2 linked regions of the Daphnia pulex genome follow. Each later gene encodes a partner of the first gene's protein in a complex. Links are inferred from orthologs where the notes say so. Each region holds a gene or a part of one and is shown on either strand. Other genes may lie near its edges.

Region 1 (7,342 bases):
CTCCAGTGTCCAAATTGCTCGAAGAAATTTAGTTCAAAGAAAAAGTTGGATTCACATATTCCTGAATGTATTGCGCGGAAATCTTGTCCTTCTTGCAAATTTGTTTGTCAAAGCGAAGAAGAGATGACTGAACACACAAAGAAAGAGCATCCAGCAGATTATGCAATACATGAAGTCTTTGGTCACGCCCTCGAAGAATTGAGCTAACCGCATCTCAAATGCTCAATTTTATGTTCAATAAATTAAATTATTGAAATTCTGTCGTGAAAATACAAAAGCAAACAAAACGTCACGTAGCCTGAACATGTTTGTTTTTTTAATTCAATAATTGATAAGGATACCGCTTACGGCTATTCCGTGTTCATACATACAAATAAAGATTCAAAACAAAACAAAAAAACGGCTTTTGTATGATATGACTGCCATCTATTATCAAATTCCTAAAAATAAGAATTCAATTAACGCAATATTAAATAATGAATAAAGGTGCCGCCGCAATTTACGCAATGAAATTTCACCGAAATAATAATTTTAAAAAACGAATCGCTGTGTTGCTGGCAGTACCGCGCAACCGATCTATTTTGATTTTGGCATGAAACATCAATCCTCAGCCGACGATAAAAACGTCTGCTTGCAGTCACATGGCAACGGAGTTACTTGTCTCTCTGGTTGTATCTAGTTGTTGAACTAACGTAAACACTCATCATAACAGGACCATTGGACCATCAAGAAATACACTCTTGCACCTTATTTATCGTCGCCCCAATCCCTTCGGTCGACATTCCAACGTGGACATAAAAAAAAAATGGACAAAATATTGAAAGGTATCCTTAAATACAGAAAAACGTATCGAACTGAAATGGTGGAACAGTTTAAACAAGTTGCTGATCGACCTGAGGTAAAAAGTTTTTTTTTCATTAGTTTTTTTTCATTCAAAACATAAAATAATCGTATATTTCTAGCCAAAAGCAGTGTTTTTTACCTGTATGGACAGCAGAATGCTTCCAACTCGATTTACACAAACAGATGTTGGTGATATGTTCATAGGTATGTTAAAACACAAGTATATATACTGCTTGCTTTTTTATATTCCTGGACATTGTAAATATAAGTTAGAAATGCTGGTAATCTGGTTCCTCACTCGAAGCTGTATGGAATTGATTCAGCTACCACTGAACCAGCAGCCCTGGAGCTGGGGTGCATTGTAAATAATGTGAAGCACATGGTTGTTTGTGGACACTCAGATTGCAAGGTCAGTCAACCATAAACTTGTTAAATGATAACATAAACATAATGACACACAACTTTTGTTTCAGGCTATGAACCTATTGTATAGTTTTAAAAAAGGAATTGAAACCAACATGAGAACTCTCGAGAGATCTCCACTTAAAGCTTGGCTTCATCGCCATGGTAGTATTTCTCTAACTAAATTTGAGAGGTTAGAAGTGCATGGTTTCCAACAGCCCTTGACTTTCCCAATGGAGGGACCATTCAGACAATTTGTTGCCTACATAGACCCTGACAATAAATTTAGTCTAACAGATAAGCTCTCACAGGTAGAATTATGCCAAGTTATGTAATGTCTACAAATCTAATTGGGTTATCTTTTTTCAGCTCAACACATTGCAACAACTACAGCATATTGCCAGTTATAGCTTCATTCAAAGTGCCATAAATTCGGGGCGAGTACACCTTCACGCGTATGTATCATGTATCAAACGTTTACTCGTAAGTGTTTAATGTTGAAATTTATGATACTAGGTTATGGTTCGACATCTATACCGGAGACATCTACGTCTTTAGCCGCAAGCAAAAACGGTTTGTGGAGATAAGCGAAGAGACATCCGATTATTTGCTCGATGAAATACGCGAATACTTTGTGTGACCTTAACCGACGTGCCTCGGGTTATTATGCTGAAGAATATATGGAAATCTAGGTATTTTTATAGAGATGACGCACATCTCCTGAATTTATATGGGGAGTTCGATTCTAAAGCTATTTTGTAAATAGTGAGAAGTTAACTATAAAATAAATTGTTGCATAACTTTATAATGGAAAAGAATTTGAACAATTCGAAAAAGGAATTGCACAAATATTTATCTATTTTACGAACCTTTGAATGAGGAAGGTTTTCAAAAAGAAATGCGAAAGTAGAATAGTATACAGGATGGTTACCAACAATATTAAGCAATCGCGCAGGATACAGAGTGTAAATTGTTAGCTCACGTGTTTACTGAGAATCGGAAGATGAACTGCTACTCGAGTCCGTAGACATAACGTCGACATCTTCATTCTCTTTCTTGGGATTTTTGTGATCCATTCCACCACTCACACCCAAGTGTGAAACTGACAAACAGGGCATTTGCAGGTCATTTTGAGATAACCAACTATAAGTGCCTGCTTGAGAATTCGGAACTGAAGACCCCTGCTGCAAAGAATGATTAGGACGATGCAAAAGTTCTGGAAAACTCATGTGTCCATTGACATTCATTTCACCAAGACGGCCCAAAAATCCTAGCCGCATTTCAATATCTGAAAACCACCACAAAACAACATGAAACTACTGGACAGCAATTTAAAAAAAAATTTCTACCCGTGGGATATGGTCTGCGTAAATCTCCTTGCTGCCAATTCAAAGGAGCACAAACAGCGTTGGAAGCCGATATTCTGTGAGCAAATTTTATCAACTCTTCGGAATTTACAGGTCTGTTATTCGCCCGTGTGATTGATTGCAACTTTTGCTTAGCTTGAAAGATTGCAGTAGCCTGAAAAAGAGTAAGTTTATGAAATACTAAAACCAACAAAATAATTAAAAATAGCTTACTAATAGCTGCTCTGCCTCCTTAAGCTGCTTTTGAAGATTTCGAATCTCAACATCATGCCTTTCAACTTCTGTCTCTAAGGCAACTACTTTTTGTTGTAATACACCTTGTTCTTCAGCCAACTTAATAAAAGAAAGAATTAGCATTGAAAAAAATTATGAAAAACAAATAATTTTACCTTAAGTGTTGCCTTAAGATCAGTGTCTTTTTGAAGAACCAATTCAACAAGTTGAGAGTGTTCAGTACTCATAGGTTTCTGCTGCTTCTGGGCTATTAAGTTGTCCAAAAGTTCCCTAATAAATTAAAAAGATTAAGTTTAGTACAGTGACAATTATATTTTGGAAGATTAAAATTCAATAATCAAATTCAAAACAGTGTATGATACAAACGAGTGTGACAAAGTGTTCTGAATTTCAGGTAAACAATGGTATGATTACCTAATAAGATAAATAAATATATCATGCTAATGAACAATAGATAGATCTGAGGCTTTAACTTTCATTAAAAAAATTTTGAAGGAAGAACAATTGCACTACGTGATCAAAATAGTCGACGAACAAAGGCAGCCAAATCAAGAAAAACTTACTTTGCGATGATTTCGATATCGTCGATGCAAGTAAGCAATACTTCTCTGGTACTTTTTTGAGAAGTCATGTCTAGTTATTTTTATTCCTTTTTATAGAAATAGTTATAAAAACAGGTAAGTGAAACTTTCCAATCAAAATTAGTTTTTCTTGAATGCGGCTCGGCTACGGCTGCAACAACAACTAGAGAAGTGAGGTTGCCATATCTAGATTTAACCTGACCACGTATTTTTTTAAATTTCCTTATCCTTTATTTATGGATTCATTCGGAGTCGAATCACCGCTCTACAACGTGATTTCGTTAAAAGAAACTAAAAAATATAATAGTAATGAGATATGTTTGAAGTGTATAATAATGCAACACTGGCGACGATTTATGAATCGAATTTCGTAAACATAAACAGACAGCAGGAATCCGCTGTTCCGCTCTTGATCGTCTGACCCGCCCAAAGTTTTCCGAGCAATTTCTCAAAAACAAACTCCGGAAAGAGTGAAAAGACATTCATTTGTTTGCTTGGGTGAGTATATAGTCCAGCAATTCGACTTTAGAATCTCCAGTTATGAGGACTTTAAAACACATTTTGTGTTACAGATTCTTGGTTCAGTTCCTGTCTACAAGAATGTCGAATGACAAGTCTGTCAAAGTTAAGGTTGGAGAAGAAGAACGAGTATCGCAAAGTTTATGCGGTTGTTCGGTCGGAAAATTTTGGAAATGGAAGTACAGTGTCCATAAACAATGAGCAGAAAAAACAACTAGGTATAGAAGGAGACTATCATGCCGGGCATATCATTGCCAAAATGCTTGGAGGATCGGGATCGGACGTAAATAATCTCGTCCCCATGCACAAAAATTTCAACAACAGTGCCTACAAATCTTTCGAATTTGAAGTCCGCAAGATGATTGAGGATTCTGAAAAATTTTACCCCGGAAAACAAGTAGAAGCTCGTATCACTGTTTCCTTATTTTACAATCAAGGTTCCAATAAACCATATCGAATCAAGTATGATGTTGCCATGTACGCTAACGGCGTAGAAAAGCCGAGTTACGTTGGAGATTTCAAACTGAATGAAAATGGACGACACTAATTTAAATCGAGGAAATTTTTGCTTTGACGCTTTTTGCAGAGCTATAACTCTGGCTTTTTGTAACCAATAAACATTTTTCAATGTTGAATGCGTAATCAGGCGCCGCGCAATGTATTTTTTTTACAAGAAAGCAGATTTTAGTACGTACAAGAGTGCTTTTACAGCCATCTGGCAACCGTTTTCGTTACTAACCTACCTAGTGTCTTCTGCAGTGGTTGATTTGTTGACGTTTATTGCTCGAAAATTCTCCAACCCACTAACATTTACTCGTTTAGTAATCAAATTTCAAAATGTCTTCTCCCTCGGTGAATACTTCATTGACTTCGTCCCCACAGAAAGAAAGAGACAGCAAAGAAAGAGAAAATCCAGATGAAAACTATGATCAGGTAATTTTCTTCTTTTAAGTTACATTAAATCTTAAGTAATTTCCAGCTGAAAGTTTTGCTGGTACATATAACATATTGCTGGTGGAAATTTTTGTATTTAAATTTGTTTTAATGCTTTACTGTTCATTTAATTTCTAAATGTTTCAATTTCTAGTTTGATGATGATGAACCTGATTTGCATTATGGATCCACTTCATCAGGCAGAAAGCGCCTCTTCAGCAAGGAACTTCGTTGCATGATGTTTGGATTTGGTGATGATCAAAATCCCTATACAGAAAGTGTTGATCTGCTGGAAGACCTTGTTATTGAATACATCACTGAAACGGTAGGACTAATACCTTAAAATTTTTTTCAAACTGTGACATCTGATTTGCTATCTTTGAATTTTATTTATCAAGTTAGAATGCAAAAATGTTTATTTTTGAAATCAAATGCAAATGTTTCATCGTGTTATGGCAATTCACAAAGAGTCGGCAACCTGATTAGAATTCTATAACATGGCAAATGACTTTATTGACATTAACTATTTGCATTATTACTACTTCAGACGCACAAGGCCATGGAAACTGGACGGACAGGCCGAGTTCAAGTTGAAGACATGGTGTTTTTAGTTCGCAAGGACACGCGTAAATTTGCCCGCGTCAAAGACCTTCTAACCATGAACGAGGAGCTGAAGAAAGCTCGTAAAGCTTTCGATGAAGTCAAATATGCAGGCGTTTCCTAATTTTCTATCCCGAAAACGCGTGAACGGCCTCATTTATGTATCCTGCAGCATCCAGCAACCTTTTTTAACAATAAATAAACTTTCGTCATTTTTTTCAATCCAAAATTTCGTGTGAATTTTCAAAGAATGTATCACCTGAGTGTTTCCAAAGTAAAGTCTGACGGTCCGCAAACACACGCAAAATTGGAACCGTCGTCAGGACAATCCCTACCTAAAATAGTTGTGGCTAGTATAGAATTGTTGATTCGGCCTCGAAGACCTAACCATTCTTCATCCGGCTCAGACAATACGTGCCATACTTTAAACCTGTTGAAAAATTGATATAGATGTTTCATTAATGTGAGGTTAGAATGAAATTTCGGTTTTTCTACTTCTCAGGATATTTAAGTTCTAATTCCCGAAACTCTTCTTTCCAGATTATGTCTTCTTGAGTTCGGTTGAAGAACAGTAACATAACACGCCTAAATTAATCAAAATTGGTATTCAAATGAGCTTAGTTCATAAGAGATTAATCGACAAAAACATCAAAAGGGGTACCTATTATTGCGTAAGGTATCGATTGTTATTCTGACTAATGGCGTGATCCCCGTACCTGGAATTTTAATTTATTAAAAAAAGAATGTAATTTACTTAAGATGTTTGCTATTGGTTAATATATCACGGGAGGGCAAATATGAATAAACAGAACAATGTCAACAAAGACAAGGCAACAATGGGGGTCGTCCAACAATGCTAATACGTACCAGCGGCGATAGCTACCACATTCTTGCTCTCTAATTGCGATTCTAGGAAGTTTCCAGTTGGATCACTCACTTCAATCGAGCTGTTACCCTCAGCCAATCGATCCAATGCCGAAGTAAATGGTCCAGCAGGGTAGATTTTGATTAGAAACTGAAGCGAACTAGACGCTTCAGTTTTAGATGGGCAGTCTGTTGTCTTGCACGAAGAAAGATCAGAAACAACAGGAGTGTAGCTACGGATTAATTCACTTCCATCTAATGATTAGAAACGTGAAAATAAAAAATAAAAATAAAAAACCCTTTTTCAAGATCACGCATATGTGCAATCACCTTCCAGAGATAGTTTGAGTTGAACATGCCAACCAACAGGGACGTAAAAGTCTTGACCAGTAGGAAACGTCAAAGTGAATAGAAAAACATTGTGATTAACGCGCAATTTGCGTGTTAAAGTGGCCTGGCGGAAGAATGGTGAGGCTTGGCTTAACGGCTGAAACCCTTGGCTGACGTCCTCCAAATCGCCCAATTTCTGCCAATGGAGTGCAGTTTGTATTTTGCGCAATACCAATTCCACTTTGCCCGTTGTCAACGATACTGTAACCTTACAGGAAGATTCGACAACTTCGGCTAAGTGAATTTGATAATCGTAACAGCGTGACCAATCGTCGCTGTAGATACGAATACGGAAAAGTTTCCCGTCGATAGACGTCGACACCCGGTGTGCGTCAAGTCCTTTTTGTCGCGTATAAAGGACGACAGTGACGCTGGTGGAGTTCTGCATCCAATCGGTGGTGACAACTCCAATAGAAGGCGTCGATATCGACAGAGTGGGCGGAGGAGGCGCAGGAAAGCCCTTTCCAACGATAACTTTGCTTTGTGCGCGTTTGACTGGAGGCAGCATGGAATCCGCCTTCAATCTTCCGACCAGGCATTTCTTCAGCATCGATTCGTAGTTTACCCATTTATGGACTTCATCGAACAAATCGGTAGCGTCAATCCCGA
Region 2 (5,204 bases), on another chromosome or scaffold:
TTCCTCTTCTTCTTTTCAAAGGCTTATTTGGCGGATGTACTGACACACACACACACATACACAGCCGTATAATAACCTTCCGTCCTTGGCATACAAAATAGGCCTGTCGTCTATATGTAGTCTTCGACCTAAGAGTTTCAAGGGCTTGGAGATGGATACAAAACACAACTAAAAATAAAATAAAAAAATGGGATAGAAGAGAGAAAAAGAGGGGAGAGAGAGAGAAAAAAGGATAGAATGGGAGAAACGAGTGTGGGAGAAATCGTTGCTGCGTCTTCTATTCAACCACAGGCGAACAATGGATATAAGGAAGGCTTTTCCTAGCAGACTCGATACCGGTATGAGAAATTGAGGAGGGAACTTTCTCCCCTTCTCTTTAACGCGCTCCTTTGAATTGTACGCGTGTCAGAAACTCGTAAACAAGGACGGGTTTTTACTTTTCTAATAGTTATTCTAATAGTCCCAAAAAAGAAAAGGAAAAACTTGCAACGTCCAGTCTGGACCATTTCTGGCTGACGAAAGAGGAGGTGAGGTCAGCCGAGCTCCCGTCGATTTGAATCTAATCAACATCCAACTCACTTTACACACACACGGCACTAGAATACGCTCGAGGGAATTGAAACACGCAACCACACAAGACTGTCGACAAGTTTCTATCGCTACTACTACTTTCAAACGTTGAAACCAAGAAAACAGGAATTAACGGACAACAGATAAGTTGTGGTATAATCTCACATACTGGATTTTCTGCAAGGGGACTAGGGAAATCCCGAAGAAAACAATAAATCACAAATGTAAATATTTTCCATACAACACAACCGCATAAGAAATGATTGCCCTCGCAAGCATTCAAATACAACAGATTAAAATTAGAAATTGAATTCCAGAAATTTGTCGGAAGGCAAGCCAAACCCAAGTGCACATAAAGACCCACCGCGATGGTTTACGATTGTAACTTAACGCATTGAACACCTGTTGAGTCATTCAACAGGTGACTTTCAGGTGGGAGTCAACGTGAATAGCCTGTGCGATTTTCGATTGCTCAAGGGTAGTAACATGAGAAGAAAACCGATGAGAGAAAAAAACAACACAACACGGTGAAGCCGAACCATACCTAGAGTCAATTTACTTTCGGTGATCTTATAAGAGAGAGAATCCGAAGACATTGTGGACCAAATAGGCCAGCGGCAACCAAAAATGCGCATAATTTGCCCGTTAAAACCTCTGAAACATCAGCCATGTACGTAAAACTTACATACACGCATTGAAACTAGAGAAACAAAATAGGTAGGGGCGAGCTGACTGCAAAACTTGCACTACAACAAAATAGATTTGAACAATGGACCAAGGCAGCAGGTGGAAGCTTATCAATAATTCTCACGTTATTTTTTATCTCGTAAACACAAGCGCAACACTAATCGAACTGACAGGTAACTATTTCAGTATCTGAATGAAACAAACGTAGGCTGTTTTTCTGAGAGATATGAGAGACTGTGCTGTGCTGGCTTCATCATCTCTCCCACACTTTCGCGTAGGAATAGTCCAGTTTGTCGTTTGCTTTCGCTCTCACACGGGACTTGATGAGATGTGCAGTCCTCTTCTCGTCATTAGAGAAAAAGAAACGTGATTTATGAGAGACGCGGTCAGTGCCCACTGAGTACAGGGAGAGGGCTAGAACTAAAAACCGCCGAAAGGAATAAAAAAATCTCGGGGAAAAACAAGCTTGTGTGCATTCTCTAGGTCTTCTTCTCTCCGACCGACCGCAAATCCCCAACATTTTTCAATAGAGAAAATTTTCATGAATATTGCCAGTACCAATCTCACACAAGTTTTCTTTCTCTAAACCACTGCAGCGCCACACGCAACACTCACTTCTCTAGTTTTCTAATAATTAGTTGATCTTTTCAGCTATCCGATAATTTAGCTTCGCAAGTGAAGTGGATGTAATAACTTTATCCATTTAGTTTTTTTTACAAGGAAAACAAATTGAATCTATTCCAACGACGCAGTTTCTTAGAATGTGCTTCTATTGGCTTAAATCCCCCTCCCTCCCAAAGTCCTTGACTAAGGATTTGATGCGAAATAACTCAACATTAACTGTTGTTCATGTACTTAGAAGTCGTACAACTACTGTTTCCTAGAAGTATTGCAGGCAACGAACGGGTGTAAATCATTAGTTAGCACTTAGTAGGATACATAAGCGGGTATAGTACCTAACGCAACAACGGCGTTGTGAGAAGTGGAAGGGGATGCAGGAACAACATCCCCGACGATTGCCGGATGAATTTCCGTCGTGGGTTTAATCGCCGTTGGTTTGACCATGGCCGCCTCGACTTCAGCCCCATTCGCAGGTTTAGCGACAGGACTTGGTGAGGGAGACGGATGGTGGATGATGTTACTGAAATTGATGCCCATGTGTTGAAGTGTATTGGGAGCCCAAGTTACAGAACGGCAACCGTTTATTGCCTTAGACGTGGACCTTTGGGTTGATCCACAGCAAAGATAACTTCTATTCCCCCACAGGGCAGGGTGATACACATTCACAAGAGGAGCACTGTCTTTGACCACTATCAGGAGAAAAATAAAATAAATTATTAGATGAGATAAAATGAACATGTGAGATAAATACTGCTATTTGTCACACATAACTACTTGAGACGTCAAAAGAGAATGTTCTCACCAACTCGGATATTCCAAAGCCAGATATCTCTTTCTTGCTGAGTGGGAGTGAAAATGCAAAGAGTCAAGTCTGTTGCACTACAACCTTCATTACACTCATAAGGATTGTACACTATCTGAAAAGCAGGAGATCCCTTCAAATCACTCGGAATGGAACCTGTAAGGTTTGCCAATGGACCGATGGCAGGTGTGTCAGGTGCTGGATCAACAGCTTCCACAACTTTCACTGTTTGGAGGTCGACACGTCCCTTTTCTTTTCCTTTGCGATTCTGTTGTTTGGAATTGATGGTTGTGATGAATTAGTGATGAAGGGATTCACGAACACAGTCCATGCGTGTTTAGTAGAACTAAACCTTACCTCGCATTCGCCCTCGTAGTAGGCGAGGAACTTTGTGGTAAGGACGAACCATCGACTCTTGTAGTTGATCAAACTAAACCTCTTCTTGTTCTGTGATCGTTTCACTAAATTGCCTTGCTTTTTTACCTCACCTGCAAGAGGTTTGGCAGAGCTTTTAAACATACTTACAAAACGATCACTAATCAAAAAAGTAGTCCCCACTTGATAAAGCTGTTATAACTTCGTTCATTGTCTTTCTCCCTGGACCCTGGTACGAAGAGAATGAAAGCAGGACGAAGAAAAAGCTCTCCAAACCTCTCTAAATACTGGCAACTCGGACAGATCTAGCGGCAGTTGCCGACAACTATTATCGGATTTAATTTCCTCCGAAAATTAGCGATAAAATCGAGGAAATATACATTTAAAATAAAAAAATAAACAACGATTAATTGATTTAATGACAATTTAATGTAAAATTGAATTCTTTTACAACATTCTAAATCAAATTTGTTTCCATTCAAGAATGGCGTGTCGGGACAGCCACAAAAAGGAGAACATTGATCAAAAAATAGTCTGCTGAAATCCCCAAGCAAACGAACTAGAAAACGTCACATTCTTCATTCTTGAAAACAAACTATATTGTTTACATTACTATATTGCTTCATTCCAGTGGGAAAGTAAAAATGTCAGAAACGGCTCAAGTTAGTTCATTACCTTTGCCACCGATGCAATATGTCAGTCTTTTTAATGAAGAAAACGCTAAAAGAGGAAGAACACCGAGACCACCTCCTCCGATCACAGACAATTATTCCATGTTTGGTAATCCATATAATACTGATGATGCTGTGATCCGACCTCTTGAAAGCCAGGTGATAGAAGTTTTTTCTTAATCAAAGCTTTCTTTAATACTCGTTTTACTATTCCAGAATATACGACGTCTGTACCCTAATAACTATGACCACAGAAGAGAACTGAAAAAGCTCAATCACTCCATCACTGCTAGTTTCCTTGACTTGGTTGATATCTGCATACGAAATCCAGAGTCTGAAGCAAGAGCCACAAAAATTGATGACCTCACTTTGCTTTTCATTCACATGCATCATCTGGTCAATGAATTTCGGCCTCATCAAGCAAGGGAAACTCTTAGAGTTATGCTAGAACAACAAAAACGACAAAGATTGGAAATTGCAGAGCGTTTCAGAAGACATTTTGACAAAGCTTGGGAATTGGTTCAGCAGGCTGTCAACACAATTCCTGAACCAACTGAAGGCAACATCAAGCTCCTTATAGATGTTGAACGGGTTCAACCTTCAGAAGGCAATGCAAGCAACCAAACTTCTGGGAATGGGTGTACTGAGGAGGATCGTGTTCTGTGTCAAATGATTGATTCTTTGTGAATTCTGTGTTATTTTATGTTTATTCAAAGTGGAAAATACATTCGATCTACTCGCCTTTCTGATGTAAAATAGTCTGCTGTTTTATTTTTAATCGTTTTGGGACAAACATAATCTCGGTGATTTATTTTTTTTTAAGAATTTTTATTTTAAAATAATTATTGCAATAGATTTTTCTATTTGTATTTTAGTTGATAAATGTTGATGATCCACCTAAATTAAACATCTAGATCAAATTGCAACGTTGTTTATTCGTTTTAGTCCGTCTGCAGTCGCTGTAACATATTTTTCCTTCAAATTTTTCCTCTTGAAAGTTGATTCGAAACAACAATACCGTTGAAGTTAATTCTCTGCTTTTGGTAAGTGCATTGCTGTTAATTTAACTGTATATTGAACCGGTCTATCGATAGTTATTAGTTTTATCATTTCGCCTTGCAGGTAACATTCAATTGTTATAGCCAAAGCAAGTTTTTACACGTGATCATCTTTCGTTAGTAGAGTAAATTTTAAAATGACTGAAAGAAAAGTCAGCCCAGTTCCCGTCTATAACAATATCCTAATGGAACAATTTTTTGATGAGATCCATCCCAAACGAAGTCCTGTCATACTCAGAGGATTAGACATTGGAAGTTGTCTAGGAAAGTGGACAGCTGAATATCTTTCGCAAAATGTTGGGAATAAGCCAGTGAAGATTCATGTATCTGAAACAGGGCAAATGAATTTCCTAACCAAAAACTTTCATTATAAAACACTGCCGTTTGATCAAGTAATCAAAAGGTCTTCTGAAAATGAGC

What was found. Proteins that work in one complex are often made in the same cells at the same time.
Region 2: mediator of RNA polymerase II transcription subunit 4-like (region 1) and mediator of RNA polymerase II transcription subunit 7-like share a complex: the UniProt entries of both Drosophila melanogaster proteins name them as parts of the mediator complex. The link is inferred for Daphnia pulex from reciprocal best matches to the Drosophila melanogaster genes MED4 and MED7.

What each region holds. Positions count from the first base shown.
Region 1 is NC_060026.1:12,375,105-12,382,446, forward strand, and holds mediator of RNA polymerase II transcription subunit 4-like, read right to left. Parts: upstream 3,602-7,342; 5' UTR 3,478-3,601; coding exon 3,410-3,477; intron 3,117-3,409; coding exon 3,002-3,116; intron 2,946-3,001; coding exon 2,826-2,945; intron 2,767-2,825; coding exon 2,595-2,766; intron 2,534-2,594; coding exon 2,232-2,533; 3' UTR 2,086-2,231; downstream 1-2,085. Other genes in the region: gastrula zinc finger protein XlCGF7.1-like, read left to right, coding at 1-207; beta carbonic anhydrase 1-like, read left to right, coding at 806-898, 963-1,047, 1,113-1,252, 1,317-1,556, 1,615-1,700, 1,762-1,885; transcription initiation factor TFIID subunit 13-like, read left to right, coding at 4,784-4,879, 5,034-5,204, 5,427-5,603; cytochrome b5 reductase 4-like, read right to left, coding at 5,608-5,662, 5,739-5,909, 5,975-6,064, 6,141-6,195, 6,347-6,598, 6,674-7,342. UniProt on the Drosophila melanogaster protein: Component of the Mediator complex, a coactivator involved in the regulated transcription of nearly all RNA polymerase II-dependent genes.
Region 2 is NC_060019.1:10,645,415-10,650,618, forward strand, and holds mediator of RNA polymerase II transcription subunit 7-like, read left to right. Parts: upstream 1-3,563; 5' UTR 3,564-3,699; coding exon 3,700-3,885; intron 3,886-3,942; coding exon 3,943-4,413; 3' UTR 4,414-4,482; downstream 4,483-5,204. Other genes in the region: tyrosine-protein kinase Btk29A-like, read right to left, coding at 2,214-2,567, 2,681-2,948, 3,038-3,199. UniProt on the Drosophila melanogaster protein: Component of the Mediator complex, a coactivator involved in the regulated transcription of nearly all RNA polymerase II-dependent genes.